Linked DNA regions of Ovis aries. Each later gene encodes a partner of the first gene's protein in a complex. Links are inferred from orthologs where the notes say so. Each region holds a gene or a part of one and is shown in the gene's direction. Other genes may lie near its edges.

Region 1 (8,097 bases):
ATTTACTGTGGTAACAATCCTTATCTCAGTTGTATATGTACCAGATTAAACATCAAAGGGGAAAAAGAAAAACTTTTTTACAAAACAAAAATCAGATAAAATAATCCAAAGTATAGAATATTTGTAGTAGGGGATGGGAGTCCAGTTGTTTATTTGTTTTTTGAGGGGAGGGATCCTTGATCTTCAAATTTGAGAAGAGCAGAGATGGCATCTCAGATAATTCAGTTCTCAAGTCTTCTCCTTAAATTGCTAGAGGGTTCACTACCTCCTTGGGAGATATTTCCCAAATGGCCCTATGTTGAAAAGTCACAACTTGTGTCAAGCAAATCTTGGCTCCAGAGTAGCTTCTCCCCTGAGTTTTGTCCTGTCAACCCACTGAGACCCAATTTTCTGAACTTCAAATTGGGAACCATCATTTACCTGGCAGCAAGACAAAAAATGTGAATTGTAGTCGTTCTGACAACTCCAGGATGGAAGTTCACGGCCCTCTCCGATAACAGTCCTCTCTGGGTGCTACATCCATCACCCCCTACCCCCTTTCCTCCCATACCTGACTTCTACTTCCGGCTTGTTGTGTCGTTCCACGACCTGGGAGGAGAAATTCTCCAAGCAGAGGGCAGCCTGCAGTGTGGCCCGCACGGCACTCAGGTAGGGGCGGAGAGTGGCAGTCTGGAGGAAAACCCCAAGGGACAATCAAAATCTGTCTCACAAAATCCACTGATCCCATAGTCCAGCTACACAGGAGCCAGGCAGTACTGAGGTCCTTGGCTCTCAGACACTGCAGTGAACAGAACAGACTAGGCCTTCAAGATGTCTTTCATTTTAAGACTAGAACAGTGGTTCTCAAAAGGGGACTGTTTTGCCTACCAGGGGACATATGGCAATGGCAAGACATTCTTCATTTTCACAACTGAGGTTGGGTAGGAGTTACTGGCATTGAATAGACAGAAGTCAGGGATACTGCTACATAGCTTACAATGTACAACAGAATTATTCAGCCCCAAATAGTGCTGAAGTTGAGAAACTCTGGTCTAGAGGCACACAGGTGAATAACTGTCTTCAATCTGCGCTTTGAGTCAACAAATGTATATATCTATAGTGTGCCAGGGCACACAAGGGGTTGGGAATTCAATGACCAAGACCATTTCTACCCTTAAATAGTTCAACCAGGTCAGGGAGACAGACAGTAACTATGATACAATGCATAAAATGTGAAATAGTTAAGATTTACAAATCATATTTGCAGAAGAAACTGGTTTTGATTTGAAGATGGAAATAGGATTAGGATTTTACAATGATAAAAACAAAAATGATATTCCTGGTAGAGGAAATGGCATCTAGCAACAAAGGACTTTCTTCAATTCCTTGTATTAGCTAAAAGTTCTTTTTCACCCCAGGCCTTCACACATGCCAAACCATCTATCTTGCAGGGTTTTCTCCCCCTTCTTTGCCTAAGTCATCCTTTAGATCTTGGCTTATTCAGAGAAGGCCTCTTCTTTCCTCAGAGGTCATTCTTGACTTCCCTTTTCATAGCACTTATAATTTACAATGATACACCCTTCAAATAACTCCAAGAAAAGTAATTTTCTCCTTTACTAAACTGAAAGCTCCATGGTTAACAGACCGTATCTATTCTACTCAAATTTACATACCCTGCAACTTGCTCAGTCAGGACCTTTCCTATACACCATCTTACTCAGTTTCTGTACAATAAGTGAATGAATGAAAAAATAACAAGATTAGAGTAACAAATAGGGGCATTACAGTAGTAATGAGTACAATGTTGCCAGGAAGCATTTTTTTAGATTCAATGGATGAGGTTGCAGATGGGGTCCAGAGATTCATGAGGAATCTCAAATGCTAGGCTACTGAGTTTAGCTCTTCTGTTAAAAGTGGTAAGGAACTTCTGGGGCTTTCTGAGGAGGAAGTTACACAACTACAACTGCATGGAGACTTTGTGGAGAATGGATTGGAGGAGAGGGAAGTGACAGAGCCAGCAGAGACGGTTATTTAAGTAGGGTAATAAGAGCCTGGCCTGGGGCAATGAGGGACAAGCAAGATTGTATCTGTCAAAGTTCATAGCAAATCTGAAAAAGGTACATTTTGGGTGGTCAACCCTATGACGTCTGCCCTTTCACAAATGGAGTAAGCACCTTCTTGTGTAATACTTCAACAAGTATGATGTTTAAAAAAATCAAGAGGCATCCCCTCAGTTTAACAACAAAAGAATATCCCAGGTTTCTAGCTGAGGTAAGAAAACACAGAGCAAGAATAAGGAATACAAGAGAACAAGCAAATTTAGGGAGAGGTGAGTTTTAATCCAGACGTCTAATTTCAAGGTGTCTTCAAGATATCCAGGTAAACCTTGAAAGAGAGCTAGGAAGGCAGATTTAGGAGTCATCATAAATTATATGGTCATGAAGACCTGTGCATTAAATAGGTATCGACAGGAAGAAGATAAAGAAGGGGAAGGCAGTGACCCAAACTCTCAATTGACGTTAAGAAACACCCACAATGATCAAAAGGGACGACTTCCTGAAAGGCAAAGGTCAGCGGCATCAGAGCTTAACATTCCATATTAAGGCTGATACGGTTGAATTCTGACCAGGAAGGGGTCTGCGTGGAGGCAGCAAAAGAGAGATCCTTCAGTGAGGTAAAAGTAAGAGCTGGTGGCAACATGAGGAGTGGGAAAAGGAAGTATGGAGGCTTCCCTCAGAGAACTGTGGGATCAAGCAAGCGAGAAAGAAAAGAGTTTATTTAGTGAACGTCTACTCTGGGTAGGGAGGTATTCCTACTACATGCCTCAGCGGCCCTACTACGGGCTATAAGGTGTACTACGTGCCTTCGAGGCGCTACCACAAACCGAGGAGGAGCGACTTCCGGCTTCTTTCTTGCCTCAGTATCCCCCACCAGCTTCAAAGGACAGAATAGGAAGCCTCAAAGCCTGCTTCTTACGAAGGCGTCCCCCGCTCGCCCCTTCCTCACCTCAGCCCCTGCCCCGCCCTCTTTCTTCCAGCCTCAGGGTACCCCCGCACCCCCAGCATCCCTCGGCCCAGGGCCTCTCCGCTCCAAAGTCGCATCTCCCCCAGACCCAGAGCCTAGAGGCAGAAGACGGGGGTCCCTGGCCCGAGGCCCGGCTCTCACCATCGCGGGCGCTGGCTGGGCCGGAAAGCGGAAGTGCGGAAGTGGCCCGCCCCGCGACGCCTGCCCTTTCTCCAGAAGCGCAGCCGCAGTCTCCGCCCGGACGTCCGGACTGTACCATCTGTGTTCCGAGCGGGGGAGGGGGAGGCTAAGAACATTTGGTCCCTCGTAAGTTTTCCCGTTAGGACTGTCTTAGTAGCTTTAGGCTTCTGTAGCTTAAAATCACTACTCAAGATTCTCCCGTTCCCCATGGAGCTCTTGCTTGTGACTTTGGCTTTCTCGTCTTTTTTCCGCCGCCTTCCCTCATAGTCATGCAATGGTGCAGCCCGACCTCAGGTTGGCACCATATTAGGGCAAGGCAAGGCGGAGGAGCCTTTCGATCCTTCCGGTTCTGCGCCCCCATCCTATCTTCAGGCCCCTCCTACCTGCAGCCTTTGGGGCTCGGCGAGACTAACTGCCGGGCCGAAAGCCTGGCTGCCGAGCCCCTCCCTCCAGCGCCGGGGTGTTCCCTAGGGTACGCCCGTGGCATACCTTCTGCACCCCACCTGCAAGCGGGCTAGCTCGCTGCCCGCAACCCTCCCCCACCAAAAGACTGGGGTTGGTACTCGCGTCTTCCCGCCCCCTTGTCAACTGCAGGGGGCCCTCACATAGCCAGTTCCGGGGCGGTTGCTCTCACCGACCGGAACTCTCCGCCCCTCCCGCGGCCCCGGGGCCGCTGGAGGCAGCAAGGAGAAGGTAGAGGGGGCGGGGGCCGCGATAGGGTGTCCTTAGAGAACTGGGACCCTGAAGGCGGGACATTGGGGCGATCCATGGGTGGGGCCAGCCATTAACCAGCCCCACTTTTCCTGTGCCAGGCACTGAACTGAGCTCTTGACTGGCATCAACTCTAAATCCTCAGAACATCCCAGGGAGGTAGGTACCATTATTACCCCATTTTACAGATTCAGACTTAAGGGAAAACAGATTCAGGCTTCTTTTGTCCCCATTTTACGCATGGAAAAACCGACTCAGAATCAATTAACATGTTCAGGGCTACATAGACATTGGTCAAGCCTGGGCTTGAATCCAGGTATATCTGGCTGTCCAGAGATCCAGGTATCTCTTTACTATGTGGGGCAAAGAGAAGGGGCAGAGGTGGGGAGGGGTGAGACAAGAAGAGGCTGGGAGGCACGAAGAACATTAGCCTAAGTACCGGATGCTTGGAACTCTGGGCTCAGCAGAACCCAGGAAGAGTGGAAGTGACGGGAAGAGCATCAGAAAGACAAGCATAGTAGTATAGTATATCATGGCAGTTAGTTGAACAAATTCAAAACTACCTGGATTCATGTTGGTAAGCTTGGACCTGCTGCATGCTTACAAAGTCTGTTTCCTCCTCTGTAAGATGAGGATGAGCATGGTCCCTGCTCTTGGGGTTGAGTGAGGAATTCAGTGAGTAGCCAGTAAAATGTCTGCCCCTCACTTGGCACACAGTAGGTGCTGTGAGAATAGTAGCTAAGCCATCACTCTCCCCCGAAGCTGTCGGTGGATGGAAGGAGCCCTTGGACTTTTCTAGTGCCACTTTTACCCCCATCAATGGTCCTTTCCTCTCCAGCTCCACAGGGTCCCCTATCCTGAGCCATGAGTGAGCTGAAGGACTGCCCCTTGCAGTTCCACGACTTCAAGTCAGTGGACCACCTGAAGGTCTGTCCTCGCTACACAGCGGTGTTGGCCCGCTCTGAGGATGACGGCATCGGTATCGAGGAGCTGGACACTCTGCAGCTGGAGCTTGAGACCCTGCTTTCCTCTGCCAGCCGACGCCTGCGGGTGCTTGAGGCTGAAACCCAGGTTATACCCTACAGAGGGGACATCACTACATGGATGTCACTACAGTCCGCTACAGGGATGGACTATGACAAGTTATGGGATGTGTCACTGAGTTAGCCTCAGCTGCTGAGGCCCAGGTTACAGGATCTCAGGGTTTGAAGAGAGAGATCCAAACATTGCTTGTGTAACACATAAAATATGCAAGAATGTGCATGATCCTTCTAAAATGTGAGATTTCTTATTCACTAAGCATCTAGGGACACCCCCCCCCCCCTCCTCACAATGTTCTGAGTCTGTAGAGTTAATTAGGACAATTCCAGCCTTTGGGGAGTGTGCTAACTAAAGGAAAGGGAGGTCAGACACGTATCAGGTGAATTGCTGTTCTGGTTAGGAGTACTGGGGGAACTGGAATGGGAGGCCTGGATTTGAATCCTGCAGTTTCTGAGTTGTGTGACGTTGCAAAACTTAACTGCCTGCTTCTGCAGATCAGTCCTCCATCTGAAAAGTGGGCTAGATAATAGGACCTACCCTCAGCTTTTGTGAGGATTAAGAGATTTTTTGCAAAGGCTCAGCCCAACGTCTGACACTTAAGAAAGCATATCAAATGTTATTTATTGGTCTGACTCTCATTATTTCTATTTATGGCATAAACATCCTCTGAGCCCTGTGTGCCAGGTGCTCTGCCAGAACTTGGGGACCAGAGATGGCTGAGATGAACTTCCTGGTCCCCAATAGCTTATAATCCTGTTGAAGAGACTAGGTACTCCGTTTATTCTAGTTATGACCAGATGACATGATTGGGCCTAGGGGTGCAAGGTACCAGAGACTCCTATAGAAAGAAGATGCCATTTTAACTGAACCTCATAAGATGAATAAAATTAACTTGTGGTCCCTGGGAACCCATGGAAGCTTTTCGAGTGGGGCTGTAGCACACAGCATCTAAGAAGCTAGATAGCTGATACAGAAAAGGCTTCCTAGTCATGGTGACATTTGAAGTGAAGGTTTGCTGGGAGGCATGCGTGCCTTCAATAGAAAGTTATCGCCAGCATATTTTCCTCGGGCTATCATGCACTGCGTTGTCATCTACCTGTTTGACCTGCTAAACACTGTGTGACCAGGTTGGGCGCTGCAGAGGTGAATCAATACAGACAAGTGAATGGAATGATGACAAGTATATGAAAAAGTCTTGTGAGATGGGCACAGAAAAGGAGCTGATTTTTGCAGTATGAGTAGAAGTTTGGTAGATAAAAAGAGGAAGGGGAGAGACTTAGAGCCTTCTTGAGTTCCAGATCCTAATTTTTCATGGGGAGATGGAGTTGTCCTGTGTCTTCCCTTCTCATCCTCAGTGACAGTCTTTGAATTTCAGATCCTCACTGACTGGCAGGATAAGAAAGGTGACCGACGATTCCTGAAGCTGGGTCGAGACCATGAGCTTGGAGCTCCCCCCAAACATGGGAAGCCCAAGAAGCAGAAACTGGAAGGGAAGGCGGGCCATGGGCCTGGCCCTGGCCCTGGGCGACCCAAATCCAAAAACCTTCAGCCCAAGATCCAGGAATATGAATTCACTGACGACCCAATTGATGTGCCACGTATCCCCAAGAATGACGCCCCCAACAGGTTCTGGGCCCGGGAACATAGATGGGCCTTGGGATTTGGGCACTGGAGGCTGTGGAGAGGCCTGGGGCTGAGGCTGGTGGGGCAGGGGGCAGGGGGCACCCCCTCAGGCTCTGCTTCTCCCTGCAGATTCTGGGCTTCGGTGGAGCCATACTGTGCTGATATCACCAGTGAGGAAGTGCGCACACTAGAGGAGCTACTGAAACCCCCAGAAGATGAGGCTGAACATTACAAGGTGAAGACCCCAGGCATGATGAGACAAGATGGAAACATCTTGGACATGATGGAGAACAAGAGGGCTCAGAGATGCCTCACAATTAACAGAGCTATATATCATCTTCCTTTTTCTCTCTCCCCAGCCTCCTGACAGTTCCATTAACTCACTTAGACGCCCAGGTTCTAGCTTTCAGCTTCCTCCCTTCTACCCTGCCACATCCTAAGGCATCTTCTTCAGTGCAGTCCTCCCTTTGTCTCTGTCATCCCCTTTGCTTTGGCTCAAAAATTCATCAGCTTTTCCCTTTACAGCCTCTTAACACTTGCTTGCCTCTAGAGGGATTCTCTTCTCTGCTTTTTTAATTGGATGCACCAGGTAGCATGTGGGATCTTAGTTCCCTGACCAGGGATCAATCCTGCACCCCTTGCAGTAGAAGTGAGCAGTCTTCACCACTGAACCGCCATGGAAGTTCCTCTCTCTCTTTTTTTTGTAATGTATAGAAGTTTTTTTATTTTTAGTTTTTATGATGAAAATAAAAGAGGTTCCGTTAAAGAAAATGTACAAAATACAGAAAAATGTTGGAGGGGAATTCTCCCATAGGTTCGCTATCATGATCAGAGGTGCTTATAACAGCCTTGTGTGGCTCCCATTGCCCACAGACTCAGGTCCAAGCTTCAGTCCTTGGTAGCACAGTGTCCTTGGCCACACCACCTCTTTACTGCTATTATTTGCCAGCCCCACCAAGCACCTTACCCTCACTCCAAGCTCACACAAGGTCCTTTCTGGTCTCTGGGCCTCTGTACATGCCAATCTCCCCTTGGCAAACTAACACCCTTCGAGTCCCTTACTGCACGTTACCTGCACCAAAATGGTTTTGCAGGTTTTCCAGCAGAAGGTTGGTCTGTCTGTTGCACTGCCACAACACCTTAACCTACTCTGTCACTCCACTTGTCTGAGTTTTTAAAAAACTTATTTGAAAAGGTAATCTATATGGGCAGTCACAAGTTCAAGCAGTGCATAAGCTATTTCTCTCATTTCTGACCTGAAGGCCTGTAGTTCTTTCGAGAGATAATAGCTCTCAACTGATATTGTCTGTGTACACACACCATTCTGCACGTTACATCATGGAAATTTTCCTGTATTGCCTTCTGTGTGTTTTAGTTGTTTATGTACCTGGCTTCTCTACTAAACTGTGAGTGTAGAGATTTTTCTCTCCTGTATCTCTTCTCACCTGAGCCTCAGGCCTCAACCCTGGACTAGATACTTGGGAGACATAAATGAAGGAAGGAGGGTGAGCGAAGAGCCTGTTGGCACTTCCAAGTGCA
Region 2 (7,435 bases), on another chromosome or scaffold:
AGCCTAAAAATAAGGAAATTTCCTACATAATCCCAATAACCAGTATCACATCAAAGTAAGTGAACACGAATTAAGTACTATCATCTGTATTCAGATTTTTCTAGTTGTCCCCAAAATATCTTTTATTAGGTATGTTTTTCCCCAGTCTTGGACCTAATAAAGACCATGTATTCCATTTCATTGTTATACCTCTTTAGTGGCTTTTTTTTTTTGAGGTATAGTTGATTTACGGTATTAGTTTCAGATATTCAGTTCAGTTAAGTCGCTTAGTTTTGTCCGACTTTTTGCGACCCCATGAATCGCAGCACACCAGGCCTCCCTGTCCATCACCATCTCCTGGAGTTCACTCAAACTCACGTCCATCGAGTCGGTGATGCCATCCAGCCATCTCATCCTGGGTCGTCCCCTTTTCCTCCTGCCCTCAATCCCTCCCAGCATCAGGGTCTTTTTCAATGAGTCAGCTCTTCACATGAGGTGGCCAAAGTACTGGAGTTTCAGTTTTAGCATCATTCCTTCCAAAGAACAGCCAGGGCTGATCTCCTTTAGGATGGACTGGTTGGATCTCCTTGCAGTCCAAGGGACTCTCAAGAGTCTTCTCCAACACCACAGTTCAAAAGCATCAGTTCTTCGGTTCTCAGCCTTCTTCACAGTCCAACTCTCACATCCATACATGACCACTGGAAAAACCATAGCCTTGACTAGACTGACCTTTGTTGGCAAAGTAATGTCTCTGCTTTTGAATATGCTATCTAGGTTGGTCATAACTTTTCTTCCAAGGAGTCTTTTAATTTCAAGGCTGCAGTCACCATCTGCAGTGATTTTGGGGGTGTTCAACACTGTAATTCAATATTTGTATAGATTATACTCCTTTTAAAGTTATTATAAAATATTGGCTATATTTCCTGTGTGGTACAATATCCTTGTAGCTTATTTATTTTATACATAGTAGCTTGTACCTCTTAATCTACCCCATCTTGCCCCATCCTTCCCTCTCCTCACTGTTAACCACTAGTGTGTTCAATATCTGTGAGTCTACTTCTTTTCTGTTGTGTTCACTAGTTTGTTTTAGATTCTGTACATAAATGATATCATACAGTATTTGTCTTTCTTTGCCTCTTAAGTGTCTTTTAAGCTAGAATAACTTCCCCCTTTTATAATACATGATATTAATCTTTTTTAAGAGTTCGGGTCATTTGTCTGTTCCAAATCAGACTGGATTTGCTGATTATTTTCTCAAGATTCAGATTAAATGTTTGGTAAAAATGCTTCATAACTAATTGTGTTGTACATCACTTATTGCATCTGCCTGTTGATGATGATAATTGCTCCTATTTTAATTGTCCCAAACTAATGAATAAAGAAGAGAAATGGACTTCTTATGTAAGGTTTGCAGTTGGGCTAGATTAAGGCAAGATGATGTCATGGTGCATTGTCTAATTGGAAGTTTTGAAGACACTGGAATAGTGGAAAAGGGAACGAGAAATGTGTCATTACATGCTTGGCACATACTGGTATCGATGTGCCCAACTTCAGAATACTTACTCTGTAGCAATCAGTGGCACCCCACTCCAGTACTCTTGCCTGGAAAATCACATGGACAGAGGAGCCTGGAAGGCTGCAGTCCATGGGGTCGCTAAGGGTCGGACACAACTGAGCGACTTCACTTTCACTTTTCACTTTCACGCATTGGAGAAGGAAATGGCAACCCACTCCAGTGTTCTTGCCTGGAGAATCCCAGGGACGGGGGAGCCTGGTGGGCTGCTGTCTCTGGGGTCGCACAGAGTCAGACACGACTGAAGCGACTTAGCAGCAGCAGCAGCAATCAGTACCATTTACATTTTGAGAGCAGTTGAGCTTTTACAAAATAATACTGTCCCTCATATTAAATTGATGCTATTATTTAGAATTTGTACTTTTGTGTCAGTTTTCTAATTTTAATTGTTAGGAAGATTCTGTGAGCATCAGAAGGTTCAGTTCAGTTCAGTTCAGTCGCTCAGTTGTGTCCGACTTTTTGCGACCCCATGAATCGCAGCATGCGAGGCCTCCCTGTCCATCACCACCTCCCAGAGTTCACTCAGACTCACGTCCATCGAGTCAGTGATGCCATCCAGCCATCTCATCCTCTGTTGTCCCCTTCTCCTCCTGCCCCCAATCCCTCCCAGCATCAGAGTCTTTTCTAATGAGTCAACTCTTCGCATGAGATGGTTTTATATATATTTAAGAGACTGTAACAAAAATAATTTGCATTAGTTATGGGGCTGCAGGAAGAATTATTTTCCTTTAAAATGGGTCCACATATTAAGTAAAACAGTACTGATTTAGCTCTGTTTATTAGGCGCTTCTGAAGTCTTTAGCTTTTGGTCCAGAGAAACTGGCCATGGGAAATGATGATATAAACAGTAAATGAAAAACTACTTGACAGTTGGTTTTCTTATTTTCCAGTTATTAGGTAAATTGCAGTAGTTGCTACTGAGCAGATAATAGCAGCGTGGGTGAATAGCTCCTCAGGCACTCTGTACAGTAAGCACGGGGTGACAAATGAAAAGTGTTCTGGGAAGAGTCATTTTCTGCACCCGATTTTATTTTTATCCATTTACTTCCTTTGTCAGGGGAAAGCAGAAGATAGGAAATTTCAGGAGAACAGGTAAATTATCAGGAGCTTATTAAAAGTTACTTTTAGGAAATCAGACAGCTTTTGAAGTTTTTTTGTTTTGTTTTAGAAAGATAGGATTTTTGCCACAATGATTAGGTGCAAAACAGAGTATTATGAAGAACATAGGATCTAGAGTCAGAAGCTCTATTACTTTCTATTACCAAAAACATTTGGCAAATCACCCCCTCTGAACTTCAATTTCTTCACCTGCCAAATAGGAATAATAATATGGACCCCTACCAATTTCACAGCATAAAGTAGGATAAAAATGCTGTGTAAGCAATTGTTGTTCAGTCTCTCAGTCATGTCTGACTCTTTGCGACCCATGCTGCAGCAAGCCATGCTTCTCTGTCCTTCATTATCTTCTGGAGTTTGCTCAAACTTAGGTCCATTGAGTTGGTAATGCCATCCAACCATCTCATCCTCTGTCGCTTGTAAGCAATATATGTTTTAAACTGCTTTTATAAAATTGAATTGCTTTCCTATTTTACGAATGGTTTGTTGCAGTTAAATTCTAGAGGTTCATATATTGCCCAGCATGTGAGGAACCTATGCTATGCTGAAAATGTGCACCATTGAGCTATGCTCTTAAAATTTATCAGACCCTAAAAGTGATCAAGCAATTGATACAAGAAGATGGTAACTTACTTTTCAGTAGATACCCTTTTATACTGTTTACTATAAACACATATCACCTATGCAAGCTTTATGTAATTGGAACTGCTCAGGGATATGACTGTGGGTTGTTGAGACGTGCCCTGAAATGGCAGCAAGGTAAAACTGGACTATATAACCTGCCTAAAATTCTCCTGGAAAACTGAGCCAGACGTTTGATTAGGGTTGTAAACCACCTAGGAAGACAGGACAGGTCACCCCTTTGCAAGAGAACCAATGACACTCATCGTGTCTCCACTTTCAGGGGGAAAGGGGAGCCTGTGACTGAACTCAGCTGGCACTCCTGCCGACAGCTCCTCTACCAGGCAGTGGCCACAATCCTGGCCCACGCGGGCTTTGAGTGTGCTAACGAGAGTGTCCTTGAGACCCTGACTGATGTGGCGCACGAGTACTGCCTGAAGTTCACCAAGCTGCTGCGCTTTGCTGTGGATCGGGAAGCCCGGCTGGGGCAGACTCCCTTCCCCGACGTGATGGAGCAGGTGTTCCATGAAGTGGGCATCGGCAGCGTGCTCTCCCTCCAGAAATTCTGGCAGCACCGCATCAAGGACTATCACAGTTACATGCTGCAGGTGAGAGGACCCCGAGGAGGGGTGCACAAGGATGTGTGATCTGGGGGTGTTTAGTGGGATCCCTAACACTTGCCCCAGGGTGCAGAGCACAGGGCCTGGAATAGAATGAACTTGACTTTCCTCTTGGCCCCAGATGTGACCCACACTGACCTGGCCAAACCCAGGGTTCTTCTTCAGTCAGTGAAATTATAGCATGTGGCTAGCCTGTTCTTACTCAACACATATTTATGGAGTGCCTATTGTGCAATTTAGCAGTTTAATAGGACAAGTTCCTTGAGCTTGCATTCTTGTTGAGAGAGAGACAAAAACAGGTAAACAAACAATGATCAAAATAATTTCAGATAGCGTTAAGTGCTTTAAACCAGGAGCAAACGAGTGAGATGACACTGCTCTCAAAGGTAGAGTGTGATGGGGGAGATGGCGTTTTTGGTTAAAACCAGAACTATCTAATCTCTTCCACCCTTGTGGCCTTAGGCATTTTGTTCACTGTTTTGCTTTCCCCAAATCTGAAATATAAGAAATTCATAACACCCAATCGGCTTTGCTAAGTGATCCAGATGTCCTATAGCGCTCATTAGCCACTTGTTGTGTTTATGTCAAATGTTAGTTTTTATAGCCAAAAATGTCACCTTTTGTCCCAGTTCTGATATAATACATCTAAATATTTTACCTTTATGTACCTTTTAATTAATCACATACACATTCTCTGCCAAACAAATTTTCTTTACATGGCCCTGCCATTTATGAATTTCAAACTCAAATTCCTCCCATTAGCAGTGATGCTTTATTCGTATTCATCTTCTGTTTGCACCAGATGCCACAAGCTGACTATCCAACTTGCTTTTAATGTTCCTTTGGAAAATTGACTCTTGCTTGCCAACAGATTAGTAAGCAGCTCTCTGAAGAGTATGAGAGGATCGTCAATCCTGAGAAGGCCACAGAGGACACGAAGCCTGTCAAGATCAAGGAGGAACCTGTGAGCGACATCACCTTCCCTGTCAGTGAAGAACTGGAGGCCGACCTTGCTTCTGGAGACCAGTCGCTGCCCATGGGAGTTCTCGGTGCTCAGAACGAGCGCTTCCCATCTAACCTGGAGGTCGAGGCTTCACCACAGGCTTCAAGTAAGAGAGAACCTACCCATCTTGATTCTGGGAGATGTGCCAGCCTCAGTACTTCTTGCATTTTAGACTCAAAGTCTGGAGATGGAAGAGCAAAAATAGGGATGGGCAGGGGAATGGAAAGTCTAAGAAGAAATATAGCTTCACTGATCTAGAGATACAAACATTCTCTTCTTAATTAGTGAAGAGAGAACTAGCACAGTTTTACAGACATTCTTTGAAATTATTCCTAGTTAGGATGTAGAGGCAATGTTACTCTCTTCAGTTCAGTTCAGTCGCTCAGTCGTATCCTGCTCTTTGCAACCTCATGGACTGCAGCACGCCAGGCTTCCCTGTTAATCCCAATTCTCAGAGCTTACTCAGACTCATGTCCATTGAGTCAGTGATGCCATCCAATCATCTCATCCTCTGTCATCCCCTTCTCCTCCTGCCATCAATCTTTCCCAGCATCAGGGTCTTTTCCAATAAGTCTGTTCTTTGCATCAGGTGGCCAAAGTATTGGAGTTTCAGCTTCAGCATCAGTCCTTCCAATGAATATACAGGACTAATTTCTTTTAGGATGGACTGGTTGGATCTCCTTGCAGTCCAAGGGACTCTCAAGAGCCTTCTCCAGTACCACAGTTCAAAAGCATCAGTTCTTCAGCACTCAGTTTTCTTTATAGTCCAACTCTCATATCCATACATGACTACTGGAAAAACCATAGCTTTGACTAGACGGACCTTTGTCAGCAAAGTGATGTCTCTGCTTTTTAATATGCTATCTAGGTTGGTCATAACTTTCCTTTCAAGGAGTAAGCATCTTTTAATTTCACTGCAATCACCATCTGCAGTGATTTTGAAGCCCCCAAAAATAAAGTCTGACAGTTTCTACTGTTTCTCCATCTATTTGCCATGAAGTGATGGGACCAGATGCCATGATCTTAGTTTTCTGAATGTTGAGCTTTAAGCCAACTTTTTCACTCTGTTTCACTTTCATCAAGAGGCTGTTTAGTTCTTCTTCCCTTTCTGCCATAAAGGTGGTGTCATCTGCATATCTGAGGTAACTGATATTTCTCCCAGCCATCTTGATTCCAGCTTGTGCTTCATCCAGTCAGGCATTTCTCATATACTCTGCATGTAAGTTAAATAAGCAGGGTGACAATATACAACCCTGACATACTCCTTTCCCAATTTAGAACCGGTCTGTTGTTCTATGTCCAGTTCTAACTGTTGCTTCCTGACCTGCATACAGATTTCTCAGGAGGCAGGTCAGGTAGTCTGGTATTCCCATCTCTAAGAATTTTCCACAGTTTGTCTGATCCACACAGTCAAAGGCTTTGGTGTAGTCAATAAAGCAGAAGTAGATGTTTTTCTGGAACTCTGTTTTTTCAATGATCCAATGGATGTTGGCAATATGATCTCTGGTTCCTCTGCCTTTTCTAAATCTAGCTTGAACATCTGGAAATTCATGGTTCATGTACTGTTGAAGCCTGGCTTGGAGATTTTTGAGCATTACTTTTAGCGTGTAAGATGACTGCAATTGTGCAGCAGTTTGAACATTCTTTGGCATTGCCTTTCTTTGGGATTGGAATGAAAACTGACCTTTTCCAGTCTTGTGGCTACTGCTGAGTTTTTCAAATTTGCTGTTACTCTCTTGATGACAGTTAATTCAGCCGACCCAGCTAGGTGGACAGATGGCCTCCTGTTCTCTGTATTCTGGTCTTTCCTGGTGCTTGTGCTGAGTTAATTAAGGCAACTTCCAGATAAGTGGAGTAATGTTAATTGCTCAAGGATGTTTGAATAGTTGGGGTTGCTTGGTCAGAGTAGTACCAACAAGTTGAACCTGAAAGGGATTAAAATAGGGCAACTCAGTGATAGGCAGCTGGCTGCTTCTTCCAGACAGACTCCGTGATTCCGTTCAGAACCAGATGGCTCAATGATCCCTAAGTCAAAAAGACTGCAAATAACTCTAGAGGCTCAGTTCTTTACAATTTATTTATTTATTTATTGGCTGCGCCATGCATCATGTGGGATTTTAGTTCCCTGATCAGGGATCAAACCTGAGCCCCCTGCAGTGGAAGTCTTAACCACTGGACTTCTAGGGAAGTCCCAGTTCTTTAGAAATATAGATTATGTCATCAATGACCTAACGATGCAAACAGCCAGTCTTTCAGTGTGGCCTAAACAGAATTAGACCACATTTTCAAAGTACTGGGCAGAGAGCCTTTCACCATGGGAGATGTAATAACCACAGAACAGCATTGCTAGAAGACACAGAGGCAGGAGAGCCAGAAAGAAATTCTTGCAGACATAGGGGTCATGTCTCTTTTCAGCAGTCTGGGAACTGCTACCACCATTTTGTAGTGATCACTAACTTTCCATAATGTGAGAGAGAACCAGGGACCCAAACACAAGGCAGAAAAACAAGACAGCCCTGTAAA
Region 3 (7,978 bases), on another chromosome or scaffold:
GTAATTTCTCTCAATCATGTTTTACAATTTTTTGGTCTGTAGGTCTTGTGCTCTTCCTTCTTAGTTCTGTATCAGGGTATTTGGTGATGCTGTTTCAAGCTAACAATGCCTGTGACCACCAGAAGCTGGAAGAGGCTGGAGATTCTTCCTCCATTCTCCAGAGTGTGGCCCTGCTGACACCTTGATTTTGGACTTCTGGTCTCTAGAATTGTGAGAACAAATTTCTATTGTTTTAGGCCCTCAAGTTTGTGATAATGTTACAGCGGCTGTAAGAGATTCATGGAGCTGCATTTACAATCAGTTATGTGTTACTGAGCTTGCCCCTGGGATGCGGATCCATTCTTGACCAGAGCACAGCCCACTGAGGCTGTGTTGCTGGTTGGGACCAGGGCCGGGTCACCAACTGCCACCGGGCTGTATGTCTTTTTTCAAAAAATTGTTTTATGGTGTGGTATTTTAGGCAGACAATAAAAGCATAGGTAACATGCTGTATATCTTTCACAAATATAGAACACTGAAATTAGACTTGTGATTATGTTTATTCTTATATTTAAGAGAACGTGTCTGATATCTTCTCTATTTTATTGAAAAGACAATATACCGCTTAATAAACCCGATAGTCCCACATAGCTGCCAGCCTGGGAGGTCTCCTTTTTGCTCATGGCTTTGGACGTTTGCACCGCTGTGGGTGGCAACGATATACTGTTTTGGGGTTCTGCCATTCTCACTTAACAGCAAACATTTTTCCATGTTTAAACCTGGTGTGTATATTGACACTCGTTTTCGGGCCCGTTTTTCTTTTCATGCTAGGTGGAATTTTTGTTTCAAACTACATAAGTCTTACGGAAGCTTCTTGTGGGAACAAAACCATGCAGAGATATTCAAAGAAAATGCTCCAGTCCCCAGGGTGGCCAAGGTTAACAGTCTGGCAGCATCTCCCCGCCCACCATAGGGAGGAGGGGAGGAGCCACGTGGCTACCGCCCCTCCCCCACTCTCCGGGGCGGGCAGGTCTCTGCAGGGTGTCCGAGACGTAAGAGCTGCCTAAGCTGTTGGTAGCCCCCACCTTCCGCTGGGGCGCAGAGACCCCGTCTGGAAGCGGAGTCGCGGCGGAGCGGGGTGGGGAGGGAAGACGGTGCACCGACGCTTCACCTCCCACTTCCTGCCGGACCGGAGGGCGCCCCGGAGGACGCTGGGGGTGATGTCAGCACCGCTGCGGCGCGGAGGCCTGGGCGGGGGAGGGGCCCCGGGGTTGGAGGGGTCCTGGCGGGCGGACCTCTATGGGAAAGCAGGAGGGGCCCGAGACGGTACCACCTGCTCCTTTCACTTTAGATCCCAGTAACTACAGGGGCGGGCGAGAGGGGACCCCCCATTCCCCCCCACCCCGGGCCTGACCGTCTCGCGTCAGTCAGTGGTTTGCCTCGTAGCACGGCTGTCACTTTTGTCCCGACTCCGATCTGGGTGTTCTGACTGCAGATCACGGTGTACCCCTCTGTTTCCCACTACGGCACCCGGGGCCTGCTTTTGTTTGGCTCACTTAACATTTTCTGATGAGTTGTCAACATTAAAGATCAGATTTTACACATATTCCCACATTTCTGCTCTTGCTCGCAAACCAGATCGTCGGCCCCCGCTGGGCTCAAAGCCCGGTGGGGATGGGACCCAGGCACCCCGAGTTCAAGGTACCCCCAGCCCAGGTTTGTTCCACCCTTTTCCTTTCCTGTGTTTTGAGTAGTCAGCTTCAGGTGCAAAATTCCTATTCTCTCTTTGCAGGGGTTCCCCGACGCGGTCGCCCGGGGAGGCCCCTTCGCAGGCTCCAACCCCCGCGCTCATTGTCTGAACCCGCCCCGGGAGCTGGGCTCGCGGGGGCCGCCGGCTCTTTTGTTAGGCGGGTAGAAAAGATCATTTGTGTGTCAACAGCTTCCCGCATTGTGCTGCGGGCCGTGTGACTGCGGTGTGGCCTGTTCTGCCGGAGGCGCTTCTCTGGGTCTACCCTCCTCCCTCCCCACCCCAAAAGAGAGAGGAAACCACTAGACATGTACTAGAATACCATCTTTCGGTGAAAAAAACAAAAAACGCAGGCGAGAATTTCAGGTGAATTCTTCCTACAGAGAAGGTGCTCGTAAGGTTATTTTAAATAACTTACTTCGTCAAAAGGACAGAACGGGAGAGAAGGACCCCAGGAAAACCTCCAAGCTGGACGCTCCCTTTCCCTACGCGAGCTGCTGGTCCCGGCCGGCACCACCGTCTCACCCAGTGATTTACAGACACTCGCGGCCAGGGGCCGCGCAGCCGGAGGAGATGAGTCACCCTGGCGTGGCCTCGGGCGCCGACCCCTGCCCCGCCCCCGCCGCCCAAGCTGCGGACATCACAGCGCAAGACGCCCGGTCTCGGGCGGACCGAGGCGCCGGTCCGGGGGGCAGGCCCGCGCTCGCCCCGCCCGGTGCCCCGAGCTTCGGGGCCTGCGCCCGCCCGGGAGCAATGGCGACGACGCCCAGGCTACCTCGCTGACCCAGCCCCCAGGCAGTGCCCTCAAGGGGTGCCGGGTTCCCGCGGGCTGCGGCGGCCTTAGCTCCGATATAGGCGTCCCCGCTCCCTCGCCCGCCCGCCCGCCCGCCCGGCGATCCCATCAGCTCCGGCCGCAGCCATTTTGGAGCAAGCGGAGACAAAGAGCCAGTCATTGCTGCCGCCCCCACCAGGCCCCAGCCGCGGTCCCCGCCCGTCTTGTCCTCCGGGTCGTCAGCCTCTGGCCCGTCCGGCAACCTGCACCCCACCATCCCCGCCAGACCAAGGACTCCCGGGCCCCCAGCCCACTAGCCCGCAAACCCCCGGCCGCCCGCCCGCGCCTCGGCTTCTGCCGCTCGCAGCCATTGGCCGCGCCTTTTAAGTGCACGGTACGGCCAATCACGGGACGCCGGGCAGCCGGGCGGGGGGGCGCCGCGGCCAATGGTGAGGCGCCGGGCGGCGGGCGGGGGCGGGCACGCCGCCGCGCCTGCGCACCGCGTTGCCACCGCCCTCCCCCCCGCCCGGCCGCCCGCGCCCCCCGCCCGGCCGCCGCCCCCGCCCCGCCCGGCGCGCGCCGCCCCCCGCCCGCCCCCGCGGCCGCCCGCCCGCCCGCCCGCCCGCCCGCGCGGAGCCTCCTCCCCGCCCAGCGCCGGCCGAGCGGCGGCGGCGGCGGGCCGAGGAGGAAAGATGGCGGCGGGCTCGGATCTGCTGGACGAGGTCTTCTTCAACAGCGAGGTGGACGAGAAAGTGGTGAGCGACCTGGTGGGCTCGCTCGAGTCGCAGCTGGCGGCCAGCGCGGCCCACCACCACCACCTCGCGCCCCGCGCGCCCGAGGCGCGGGCCGCGGCCGCCGGCGCGCTCGGGAACCATGTCGGAGCCGGAGCCGTGCCGGCCGAGGGCGCGCCCGCAGCGGCGCCGGAGCCGCCCCCCGCAGGTAGAGCGCGGCGCGGCCTGAGCGCGGGCGGCCGCCGGCCGGGCCCGCGTCCTCACCGCGCCGCCCCGCTTGTCTCCGCAGGGCCCGCCGCGAAGCTGAGCGCGCTCGAGGCCGGCGCGGGCGCCGGGGCCGGAGCCGGAGCGGGCGCCGCGGCCGGGGCCTGCCCGCCGGGGGCAGCGGCCGCTCCCGAGCCCGCCGCCAAGCCTGCCGCCCGCAACGGCCCGCCCGGCGGCCCCGGCGCCGCGCAAACTTTGAATGGGAGCGCCGCGCTGGGGAACTCGCTCCGCGCCGCCGCCGCACCTGCTGTCAGCCTGCTCCACAACGGGCCCGCGCCCGCGCCGCCGCCGCCCAAGCCCGCCGCCGCCACTGTCATCCAGACGCCGCCCTTCCTCGGCGCCCCCGCCGCGCCCGCGCCCCGCGTCCCCTCGCCCCCCGCGGCCCCTGCGCCCGCCGCGCCCCCTGCGCCCCCCGCGCCCGCCGCCGCCGCCCCGCCGCCGCCGCCGCCCGCGGCCGCCAGCCTGGCCCGGCCGCCCGGGCCCCCCGCCGGACCCCCGGCGGCCGCGCAGAACGGGGGCAGCGCTGCGCCCGCGCCCGCCCCCACGCCCGCCCCGGCCCCCGCGCCCGCGCCCGCCCCGGCGCCCGCCGCCAACAGTCAGCCCGGGCCCGCCGCCGCGCCCGCGCAGGTGGCCAAGGCCGACTCGCCCAAGACCGCGCTGCAGCCGGCGCCCCCGCCGCCGCAGACCCTGGCGACCAGCTGCCCGGCCGGCGCGGGGTCCGGCATGATCCTCGGGCCAACTATGCAAGGGGCACTGCCCGCCGCCGCCGCCGCCGGCCTCCCGCCGCCGGCCCCGGGCACCCCCACCGGGCTGCCCAAGGGCTCGGCCAGCGCGGTGACCCAGAGCCTGCCCAGGACGCCCTCGGCCACCACCGGCGGGATCCGGGCCACGCTGACGCCCACGGTCCTCGCCCCACGCCTGCCGCAGCCGCCGCAGAACCCCACCAACATCCAGAACTTCCAGCTGCCCCCAGGTGAGTGGCCGCGCCGCCGAGCGGCTGTGTGTGTGCTCCCCAGCCGGGAGTCCAGGAAGTTGTCTGGCTGGCAGGACGCGGAGGTCATGAAGCCCTGCCGGTGCGTCTCTGCCCCGGTCCGGGCCGGTCCCGGGCCTGTATGTGCTCTAGTGTTGCGTGATGTGGCTGCTGGGGCCTCTTAGCTGTGCGGGGCTTGGCTTCTACTCTCCACTTTGCGTTGGGGAACTTTCTCTGTCGGGACTTCCGCCGAGTGGGCCCTCTTCTCTCCTCCTGGCCTTGTGTGTCCCTGCCCGGTGCCCCCACAGTGGACAGCAGTAGCAGCTGGCGCTCTCGGGACAACTTGCTGGGTTATTCAGTCTGGGCCGGTGACTTCCCCACGTTTGGCTGTTCTCTCCCTGGTTTCTGGGATCAGGCATATGGTTTGTGTCCTCACTGAACTCTTCTGCTCTGTTACTGGGCTGGTCTGTGATTGGTGTCCCCTTCTGGTGGTCTAGGGACCCCCTTTCCCGGTGAGGTCAGGGGAGTGACGCCCCCTCCGTGAGGCTGGGCAAGCCTGCGTGGAAAGCTTTTGCTCCCCTGCTGACACCAGGATGGCAGAGTTCCCAGGTGAGCTTGTAGGGATCCCGGGGCACACACCCTTCCTGGTCACAGCCCTTGCCTCACGCGGCTCCTGCAGTCGTTTTTCAGCACTTCCCGTAGTGGCCGTGTGGTTCTGCACGGAGTCCTCACTTGGAGGACGCCCGGTTACCTTGATTGTTACCAATGCAGTCAGCGGTGGGCTGGGGCTCCCCGTTCAGTGAGTCTTTTGGAGGTACAGATGGTGTAGGAGGACAGGCAGTGTCTCCAAACCTACACTCCATCTTCTGTTCTCTGGGCAGCTTTTTAAGGCTTTCTAGGTCCCCGTGGCATTAAGTGTGTCCCGCTGCTTTCTTTCGGGCTTGCTGGGCAGAGAGAAACCCCAGCGCTGGAGGCTCCCAGTCTCTGCTTCCATCCCCGGCCTGGCCTGCGTGGACGCAGAGCGCTCCTCCCCTGCCGTGTAGTAACGTGTGCTGGTGGCAGGAGCAGTGGAAGCAGCACCGCCTGTGTGTGCGTCCCCTCGTGCTTTCCGAAGCAGCCGTTGGTCACCTTGAGAGGATTTCAGCGTCTTAGAAGGAAGGTCTTGTTGTCACAGTGCCGTGAGGTTTGGAGCGGTGGCGGCACCTGGCAGGGATCTGATTTCACACCACAGAAGGGAGGAGGCAAGGTTCCAGCCAAGAGTGCTGTTTGGGGGTGGTCGTGAGGGCTGCCCTGATCCCAGGAGGAGGTGATGTGAAGTAGGTACCTGAGAGGTGCAGGGTGCCTCTTACAACATGCTTTGTTTTTGAGTTTGTAGGAGGTTTTCATTAAAGGTTCTGTTTTGCACATTATGTGTATTTTGACCTTTTAGTGGAAAATATGTTTGATCTCTAGTGACGCTTAAAAAAGAGAAGTCATGGTGGTAACAGGTTATGTAAAACGTCAAAATACTTTTTAGTTACTCATTAAAGTATCCCCTCAGTGGTTCTCAGCCCCTGCCCCACTCCTGGCCAGGACAGTTCCCTGCATGACGCTTTTGTTCTGAAAACTGTCAGTGAAGTTTGTGAGTCAGTGGAGCTGGTGAGGCTGGCGCTGTGCCCGCGGAGGAGGCCCCCCGGGGCACTCGTGTGATGCCTGTAGGTGTGGCGGTTTGGGGCTGACTGGATCCCCTCGCCTCTGCATAGGTGCAGCCTTCACTGCCTGCCGCCTTCTGGGGGAGGAAGCTGTGGTTCTGAAAGGGCGCCTCTGTCAGCTTTGTCATGATTGACCCTGGACGCACTTTCATCTCCTGTTCTACCGGCGGTGTTAAGGATGTCTGCATGTGACAAGTAGGCGACTCCTTGAAGAAAACTGTAAAAGTGCTGACTCTTTGCATGAGTTCTCATGAGTCTTTGCGGTAGTCCCGTGTGTGTGTGTGTGTGTGTGCGTGCGCGTGCGTGTGTGTGTGTATGAGTAGAGAACAGCTCATGTTGACATTTGGGTGACAAATGCGGAGAGCTGTGCTTTAAAGGGGCCAAATGCTTTCTAGAAAATAAACTCACATCCATCTCTTCATGCTTCCCCTACCCCCACAGTCGATCCGCTCATTTGGAGCTCTGATTAATTCTGTTCCATCATTTTAATAAAAGCAGGAGCAGAAAAAGCATAGTTAAAACTACTACCAGTTCCCCACAACAAAGTACTTTCTTTTAAATAGTACAAATTAATTTTATAAATCAAAGTGACAGATTATGAATATTCTAGTTACCTCATGTAATTGATCGATTGGAAGACACTAAGTTCTACTTGAGGTCTCCTGTTCATTGAAAGCTCTCATTATAAAAATGTATAAAGCAGAGGTGGAATTAACTTGTGAAAATAGCTATCGCCTGGCTGATAATGCACTCTGGTTAGTACTCAGGGGTTAGGGGTGGGCAGGGTTTTCAAAGCTACACATAGGTGTCAAGTGAAATAACAGACTGTTGGCAATTGAGTACCGGTGAGAGAGGCCTGCCCCACTGTCGGTGGGTGGTGGTGATGGAAACAGAGGGACAGAGGCTTCACAGAGTCCCTGAGGGCCGCCAGGCCTTTCGTATTTCATCCTCCCAGCCCACTGTGAGCTCCTGTTGAATTTGGTTTCAGTAGATTCAGTTTTGATGTCTTTGTCAGGATGGTTTTGTAAAGAGACGTTGATGTTATTGTGATTAATTTACTTGTTTGAAGGAACCAGAGTCTCAGTTTTAATCTGCTGTGGGGAATATTGAGAACACGTGAGTCTTCAGAGAGATTGTTGTAGCAAAGGCGGTGGTCCCAAGAACAGTGAAGAGCACTAGTTAGTTCTATACAGCTTAGAGTAGTCATAACATAAAAGTAATATTATGATTGTAGTTGAAAGGAGAGAAAAGTGATATGACACCAAAATTAGCATGTGCGCAAATGGTTTTAAGAGATCTTTTCAGATAGGTGTTACGTTAGAGATGCTCATTTCTAAAGGTTATCTTTTGTTGGCAAGTTTGCATATTCAGTAGTGTGTGTCTCTGTCTGCTCTGCTTTCATGGAGAATTTGTCCTCCTGTGATGCTCAGGTTTGGCTGAAGTACAGTTCTCATTCCAGGAGAGAACGCCTTTCCTCTATATCCTGGCTTCAGGACTGACTTGGCATGGGGCTGACTTAAGATGAATAGTCTTAAGGTGGCTGTGCTTGGAAAGACGGGGTCTAGGGTGGGGTTCCCATCCTCGGTGAATGGAACTGTTGGATGGTGGGGAAAGAGGAAGAAGAACCTGGGGGCCAGCTTCTGTGTAGACCGGGTTGAGTTCTGGGATGGTCGACTCTGAGCAGGATGGCAGGGCTTGGGGCTCAGGATGTTCTGGTGGCCGACTTCTGCAGAAGTGTTTGGCACAAGGGATAGCCTTAGGAGTTTATATGTTGTCACTTGAGGGCACTCTTCACCTGGGACAGAAGACATGGTTTCTGGGGCC
Region 4 (8,113 bases), on another chromosome or scaffold:
AACTATTTCAAATCCTAAAAGATGATGCTGTGAAAGTGCTGCACTCAACATGCCAGAAAGTTTGGAAGACTCAGCTGAGGCCACAGGACTGGACAATGTCAGTTTTCATTCCAATCCGAAAGAAGGGCAATGCCAAATAATGTTCAAACTACTGCACAATTGCATTCATCTCACACGCTGGCAAAGTAATGCTCAACATTCTCCAAGCTGGCCTTCAACAGTATGTGAACCATGAACTTCCAGATGTTCAAGCTGGATTTAGAAAAGGCAGAGGAACCAGAGATCAAATTGCCAACATCTGTTGGATCATGGAAAAAGCAAGAGAATTCCAGAAAAACATCTACTTCAGCTTTATTGATTATGCCAAAGCCTTTGACTGTGTAGATCACAACAAAATGTGGAAAATTCTTAAAGAGATGGGAATACAAGACCACTTTACCTGCCTCCTGAGAAATCTGTATGCAGGTCAAGAAGCAGTTAGAACTGGACAGGGAACAACAGACTGGTTCCAAACTGGGAAAGGAGTACGTCAAGGCTGCATATTGTCACCCTGTTTCTTTAACTTATATGCAGAGTACGCCATGTGAAATGCCAGGCTAGATGAAGCACAAGCTGGAATCAAGATTGCTGGGAGAAATATCAATAACCTCAGATATGCAGATGACACCACCCTTAAGGCAGAAAGGAAGATGAACTAAAAAGCCTCTTGATGAAAGTGAAAGAGGAGAGTGAAAAAGCTGGCTTAATACTCACATTCAAGAAACTAAGATCATGGCATCCAGTCCCATCACTCCATAGAAAATAGATGGAGAAACAATGGAAACAGTGACAGACTTAATTTTCTTGGGCTCCCAAATCACTGCAGATGGTGACTGCAACCATGAAATTAAAAGACACTTGCTCCTTGGAAGAAAAGCTATGACCAACCTGGAAAGCATATTAAAAAGGAGAGACATTACTTTGCCAACAAAGGTCCGTCTCGTCAAAGCTATGGTTTCTCCAGTAGTCATGTATGGATGTGAGAGTTGGACTATAAAGAAAGCTGAGCACTGAAGAATTGATGCCTTTGAACTGTGACGTTGGAGAAGATTCTTGAGAGTCCCTTGGACTGCAAGGAGATCAAACTAGTCCATCCTAAAGGAAATCAATGCTAAATAGTCATTGGAAGGACTGATGCTGAAGCTGAAACTCCAATACTTTGGCCATCTGATGAGATGAACTGACTCACTGGAAAAGACCCTGATGCTGGGAAAAATTGAAGGCAGAAGGAGAAGGGGATGACAGAGGATGAGATGGTATCCTCTGGGTGGCATCATTGGATGCCATCATTGACTCTATGGACATGAGTTTGAGTAAGCTCCAGGAATTGGTGATAGACAGGGAAGCCTGGAGTGCTGCAGTCCATGAGGTCGCAGAGTCGCATACAGCTGAGTGAATGAACTGAACTGAACTATCTGGTGTTTTCAAACTGCAGATCATTTAAAAATTAAATTAAAATAAATTTAATCAGTCATACTGAGCATTTTATTTAAAGAACAGACTATCAAATATTAGAGTATATATTTCAATGTGATAATTATACATATTATTGTTAAAACTTGTCTCACTTATAAATATCCACATACCTACGTGGGTTATGGGTTCTGGTGTTAAACATATTTCTTACTGTGAATCATGGCCAAAAAAATTGAAAGCTCCTGGTCTAGATCAGTTTGTTCAACAGAAATACAAGGTGAGCCACATATGTAAATAAAAATTTCCAGAAAACTTTCCACAAAAAAGTAAAAAGAAATAGGAAATTAATTTTAATATTTAACTCATATAAAAATACTTTTCAACATGTTACCAATAAAAATATTATTGAGCCATTTTATTCTTTTTGTCTTTAAAATCCAGCACATATCTCACACTTAGAGAACACCTTAGCTCAGACTAGGTACATTCAGTGGCAGTAGTCAATAACCACACTATTAAGTTGCTCCTGGAGTAGTGCAGGTCAGTTTTGCAATTACCTACCTTAGGAGGCAAACTCTAAATTCACTCTTAGCTTTGTGAATTTAAACTTAGGAACTGAACAAGATTGTAAACTCACACCAGTGGCTACCTCTCCCATCACACTCAACCCTAGAGATGGCACTGAAATTGATAGATCAGTAAAAACTGTGAAACCTCTGAGGATATGTGTGTGTGCATGTGTGCATGTATGTTGATAAACAGGGAGTGATGGGGCCAACACATCACAGGTTTTCCTGTTTTGGGTGCATCCTTCACCTTTTACCAATGCTAGGCTTTAGCCTCTCCTTCTGGGTAGACAAGGTAGCTGATACCTTCCGGGAAATACAAATTCATAGAGAAAAGTAATGAGATGCAGAGGAAGGTGCAACTGCTAGTAAAGCAAGAAACTGAACAACTTAAATGCTCATCTCCTCCCCCCTCTCTGCCCTTGCCCCTACCCATGTTTCATAATCTTACATTATGTCAAATTCCACTAGTTTTATATTTCAGTCTTGAGATCACCATGTATGTCATGATTAGACTTTCTTAGGAAACATTTGCAGAACACCGCTTAAGGTTCAGTAAAAATAACCAATAGTTATTTATTATGTGTTTAGTTCAGTTCAGTTGCCCAGTGGTGTCCGACTCTTTGCGACCACACGGACTCTATCTTATTTAATCCTCACATAACTCGATCTTCCCCATGTCCCAAGTTCACTTTTCTTGTCTGCACCTATCTCATACCGTTGTGAGAGTCAAAGGAGACCAAATATGCAGCGCAGATTCTTTACCGTCTGAGCCACAACGTAAGTCCTCAAACATGCAGCAGTGCTTTTAAACCTATGAAGCATGTTGCAAAATGGCACATACTGTTTTAAAATATACAACTAAAATGCGGCCTGCTTGTAATAATGGTTAACATAGCACGAATACAGCATATACACATTTCACAATCACAAAATTCAGGTTCTTAAAAACTTTTTATTGAAATATAACATATATGCGTAAAGTTCACAAAACGTGAGCTTGCAGCCCAATTAATTTTTATAAGGCATAAATGGGAAAAAGAAAAGTAACCGCCATCCAGAAAAAAATATAAACATTACCAGTAACTCAGAAGCCTCCTTCTGGTAAATGATATATGCTTTTAAGATAAAGACCTGGTTTTGAATCTTGACGCTTTCCTCCTGTGTGACTTTGGCATTTAAAAAATGTCTTTAGGTCTTGATTCAGTCATCTGTATCGTGAGAATAATGGTACTTTATATGACTGCTGAATAAAAGGTCACATAATGTAAAACGTCCATCGCAGTGCCTGAAAAATAGCTGGTCTGTAATAAATGTAACTATTATCCGGCAAATGCAAGAGGCTGCCCCGACGTCCCACTTCCTGCCTTTTTGCCACTCACTTTTGAAAGTTGCTCTTGCTGCGATTCCTTTTTCTCCTTCTTTATCGCCCCTCCTACTGCCGTAAATTGCCCTCCAGAGATGTCGTAAAACGCTCCTCCCCGCCCTCCATATGGCGAAAACGCAATCACGCTTGACGGCGCGAGGTGGCTCAGCCGCAAGATGGCGGCGCTGGCAGAGGAGCAGACGGAGGTGGCGGTGAAGTTAGAGCCTGAGGGACCGCCGACGCTGCTACCTCCGCAGGCGGGGGACGGCGCTGGCGAAGGTGGCGGCGGCACAACCAACAGCGGCCCCAACGGCGGCGGCGGGAACGTTGCGGCGGCGTCGTCGGCCGGCGGGGATGGTGGGACCCCCAAACCCTCGGTGGCTGTCTCCGCCGTTGCACCGGCGGGGGCGGCCCCGGTGCCCGCCGCTGCTCCGGAGGCCAGCGCTCCCCACGACCGACAGACTCTGCTCGCCGTGCTGCAGTTTCTACGGCAGAGCAACCTCCGCGAGGCCGAAGAAGCGCTGCGCCGTGAGGCCCGGCTGCTGGAGGAGGCAGTGGCGGGCTCCGGAGCCCCGGGAGAGGCAGACAGCGCCGGCGCTGAGACAGCCAGCGCGCTTCTTAGCCGGGTCACCGCCTCGGCGCCCGGCCCTTCGGCCCCGGATCCTCCAGTCAGCGGCGCTTCGGGGTCCGCCGCCGTCTCGGGCTTAGCGACAGGTTCTGTGGCTCCGGGTAAAGGTGAGCCGCTGGGTCCGGGGTAGGCAGGACCGGCACGGCGGGGAGTGAGCCGGGAAGGCAGAGGCTGGCAGGCCTGCACCTCTGCGGGCTTGTTTTGAATTTCCTGGGCCCGCCTCTAGGGCCACATGCCCGCCCCTTTCCCTAGTGCGCCGGCTGCGCAGTCAAACCCTCTTCCGAGCTGTCAGTTCCAGCGAGAGGCTGTGGAGAGCTATTGAGCCGAAGGATGTATGGGGACGGTGGGCGCGGAGAGGCGGGAACTTCCAGGCTTTTGGTTCTTATTTGGGCTCTTGAGCTTTGGGCAGGGATGCAGCAACATTATTTGTACTAGCGTACTTTTACTATAAATATTTTGTGTTGTTTATCTTAATTTTCACAGTTCCACTGTGAGGTAGACAGTACTTCTATTTTAGAGATGAGAAACCAGACCGAGAAAGGCCAAGGTATTTGCTTTGGACCGCACAGCCAGAGAGTGGTGGTACATAGTGAAGCCAGTCTTTCTCAAAATATAGGCTAAATACCATTGGTATCAAATCTTTTAGAGAAATGCAGATTCCTGGGCATCACTTCAGACGTAGTGAATCAGATCCTGTGAAGGTGGAGTTTGGGAATCTGCATTTTCAAATAAATGCTTCAGGGACTTCCCTGGTGGTCCAGTGGTTAGGGAACGCATGTAAGAATTAAAGATTTTAAAATTTAAAAAATAAAAACTAAAAAAAAAAAAGAATCTGCCTTCCAACGTAGGGCATGTGGGAACGTGGTAGGGAACTAAGATCTCTCAAGCGTGGGGCAACTAGGCCCGCGCTCTGCAACTACTGAGCCCGCATGCGGCAAGGAAAAATCCTCGGAGCCGCTAGTAAGATCCAACGCAGCCAAAAATAAATAAATATTCTAAGGATTAAAAAAAAAAAATGCTTCCAAGAGATGTTGATCTATGGCAAGGTTTGAGACCCATTCATTTAGGAACAGGTATTGGACTTCAGTTTCTGTCTCTGTTGCTTTTACTTGTGTGATGCTGATTGTTACTCTTCCTAAGCTTGAGAGTTTTTTTCCTTCTATTAAACGGGTTATTGTGAGATTCATATATATGTAAAATGTCTGGCACTGACAAGTTTATGCCAAGTACCTATCCCTGACACCTGAGGCTCCCGCTCCCCTTTTCCTTCAGCAACTGTTGTCAAAAAGTCCATGCAGTAAAAGTCATATACAACATAAAGTTTCAAAGGTGATCCTGAGCCAGTAAAAAATGTTTATTGAATTAAATTACCCATTGTAGAGCCTCTTGCCAAATTAACCTGTGTTTATGAGACCTAATCTTGGCAGCATTTCCAGGAGTGAGGTATGAATAAGCGCTGTAACCCATAAGTAGAACTGTGTGCAAATGTGATTGAGAGGAATCTTTTTTGAATCTGAATTTGGGAATGAACTATAAGATGGATGAATTATGTGGTTGATTATTTTGCTATAATCTCTCATCTCTTTAGAAACTTGACCTTCAGATTGTAACTGAGAAACCAATAGAAAGGAAAAGAGGCCATCATAGTAACCAAAAAAACTGAAAATTTGTGCAGTAAAGAGCATAACAGTACTGTAATCACAACTTAAAAAAAATTTCCCACAAACCCTCATTTGATTGACAGATGTATCGTTGTTTGGTATTGAAATATTACAAATAAATACTCATGCTTTTTGCCTTGAAATGGTGGTTATGGAAATTGTTTTAAGCATATAAAATAGATTTATCTTTTGGAAATATAAAAGGCAAGTTCTTCCCACCATTAACATGGTTGTATTTTATAGGGAGTGATAGATGGACATACGTGAAGGTAACACAGGATAAGATATGTTGCTGAAAAGTTATAAAATACTCAGGTAGCTCAGAGGGCTGGGAATGTTACTCCAGGGCATGGCTTTGTGGTGGTGAGTGCCATTTGCACTGAGCCTTGAGAGAAGAGTAATACCGTTGTTTGATTTGCACATACCATGTTTTATAAAATTTGTTTTTAAAATAGTGAAGCTCTAGGAAAAATGCTGAATCTTTTTGCTGTTGATCTGAAAATTTTTATTTTAAGATGTGGACAAACCAAGGAAGTGTTGGATGGGTAACTGAAACAAACTGAATCCCATTAAAAGATTTTGTGATTGTGTCGGGGAAGAGTGTTTGAGAGGAGAGGGACAAACATCTGTGAAACAGTTCTCCTCTGGACCTTAACAAAACAGCCTTAGTCTTTTGGTGCTTGTCAGGTCATTTTCTTGAAGTTATTTTTCATTTTTTAAACAGTTGGAAGTGTAGCTGTGGAAGACCAGCCAGATGTCAGTGCCGTGCTCTCAGCCTACAGCCAACAGGGAGACCCCACGATGTATGAAGAATACTATAGCGGACTGAAACACTTCATTGAATGTTCCTTGGACTGCCATCGGGCAGAACTATCCCAACTCTTTTATCCCCTATTTGTACACATGTATTTGGAACTAGTCTACAATCAACATGAGAATGAAGCAAAATCATTCTTTGAGAAGTATGTGAATTTATAAAAAATATGTATATATAGCTATATATATACACACACACACAAAATGTTTATATACATCTGTAACTACACAAATGTCAGATTGCAACTCGAAAAATACTTTATGAAGGAGAGGTACCTGGTGCCTCTGCTAAACTTAAAATGAAGGGTTTGATCTTGTTGAAGTCAGGAAAGGCTCCTAGAGGTGATGTTTGAGATAGGATCTGAAGGCTGGAGAGGAGTTAACCAGAGGAAGAGAAAAGGGAAAAACTTGTGTGACAGCCCTGTGGCAGGAAGGATCATGGTAGGCCCCGAGGTGAAAGAAGGCTAGTGTGGCTGGAGCAGAGTATGGGGGGTGGGGTTTGGTACTACATGAAGCTTGATGGTTGGTTAGTGGCTGGGACAGGCAGGTTCTTAGGCCATGTTGAGGGTCTTTGTTTACCCTAAGATCAGTAGTTAGTCATATTGGGTGGGATTAGATTTGGCTGAGATTCACTGAAAAATCAAACAATAGCTGCCTAAATAAAAATTTTATTTTTGCTTCTAAGAGCAGTAGAGAATTCACCTGCAATGCAGGAGACACAGGTTTAATCCCTGGGTCAGGAGGATCTCCTGGAGGAGGAAATGGCAACCCACTCCAGTATTCTTGCCTGGAAAATCATATGGACAGAGGTCCTGGTGTGCTACAGTCCATGGGGGTGCAAAGAGTTGGACACGACTAAGCATACACGCACTGCTGCTGCTACTAAGAGCAGTATGAAGCTGTGTTAGGATTAGATTACATGAGAGTGACTAGAACCCCAAACAGTATAGGCTTGAGTATAATAAAATTCTGTTTCTCTCTCTCATGATGGAAGGCATTCTAGGACTGGTATGGAGTCCTTTGTGTCTCTTGATCATGTAGTGCTAACATCCTTGTCATGCAGTTTCCACTGTGGTACATGGTGACTCTCCAGCTCTGAGAAATCAGATAAGTGTTCGAGTGAGCAGGGAGGGTGCACATCCTTCCTGGAAGTGCAAGTATTTCTCCCTTTTTTATGTCATTAGTCATTGGCCAAGGAAGGTAGGAAATATGGTCTTTACCTAGATGTCTGTGTGCTCAGCTAGTATTCCGGTGTTTTATTGTGGAGGAAGAAAGAAAAAAATGAATATCTGGGGACAGACATCTTTGCTGTTTGCTACAGAAGTTGTTGAAGAACCATGCTTTATTAGATTTTATGTTTTGAAAGGACCTTTATGTTGGGGCAAACAATGATTGGGGGGATGAAGTGATCATAGACCGATTATTTTGGAAGTTATTGTAGTGATTCTCAACTGAGTGTAATATTATTCCTCCTTCCTGGCTATTTGGAACTGGAGGTATTTTTGGTGGTTGTATCAACTTGACTGGAGGATCAGGTGTCTTAGGGAAACCAAAAGTTCCAATATGTGCAGGTAGTCACACTTGGCAAAGAATTGTTCTGCCCCAAATACTAGTAGCACCC

What was found.
Region 2: TADA3 (region 1) and SUPT7L share a complex: the UniProt entries of both Homo sapiens proteins name them as parts of the STAGA transcription coactivator-HAT complex. The link is inferred for Ovis aries from reciprocal best matches to the Homo sapiens genes TADA3 and SUPT7L.
Region 3: TADA3 (region 1) and TAF4 share a complex: the UniProt entries of both Homo sapiens proteins name them as parts of the TFTC-HAT complex. The link is inferred for Ovis aries from reciprocal best matches to the Homo sapiens genes TADA3 and TAF4.
Region 4: TADA3 (region 1) and TAF5 share a complex: the UniProt entries of both Homo sapiens proteins name them as parts of the TFTC-HAT complex. The link is inferred for Ovis aries from reciprocal best matches to the Homo sapiens genes TADA3 and TAF5.

Annotation. Positions count from the first base shown.
Region 1 is NC_056072.1:16,892,258-16,900,354, forward strand, and holds the start of TADA3 (transcriptional adapter 3), read left to right. Parts: upstream 1-3,519; 5' UTR 3,520-3,738; exon of another isoform or gene 3,739-3,876; intron 3,877-3,995; 5' UTR 3,996-4,053; intron 4,054-4,732; 5' UTR 4,733-4,758; coding exon 4,759-4,965; intron 4,966-6,310; coding exon 6,311-6,561; intron 6,562-6,687; coding exon 6,688-6,793; intron 6,794-8,097. Other genes in the region: ARPC4 (actin-related protein 2/3 complex subunit 4), read right to left, coding at 551-669, 3,145-3,147. UniProt on the Homo sapiens protein: Functions as a component of the PCAF complex. The PCAF complex is capable of efficiently acetylating histones in a nucleosomal context. The PCAF complex could be considered as the human version of the yeast SAGA complex.
Region 2 is NC_056056.1:34,675,830-34,683,264, reverse strand, and holds part of SUPT7L (STAGA complex 65 subunit gamma), read left to right. Parts: intron 1-3,572; coding exon 3,573-3,897; intron 3,898-4,780; coding exon 4,781-5,018; intron 5,019-7,435.
Region 3 is NC_056066.1:54,788,323-54,796,300, forward strand, and holds the start of TAF4 (transcription initiation factor TFIID subunit 4), read left to right. Parts: upstream 1-3,130; 5' UTR 3,131-3,190; coding exon 3,191-4,466; intron 4,467-7,978. UniProt on the Homo sapiens protein: The TFIID basal transcription factor complex plays a major role in the initiation of RNA polymerase II (Pol II)-dependent transcription.
Region 4 is NC_056075.1:23,655,004-23,663,116, forward strand, and holds the start of TAF5 (transcription initiation factor TFIID subunit 5), read left to right. Parts: upstream 1-3,526; 5' UTR 3,527-3,563; coding exon 3,564-4,122; intron 4,123-6,400; coding exon 6,401-6,638; intron 6,639-8,113. UniProt on the Homo sapiens protein: The TFIID basal transcription factor complex plays a major role in the initiation of RNA polymerase II (Pol II)-dependent transcription.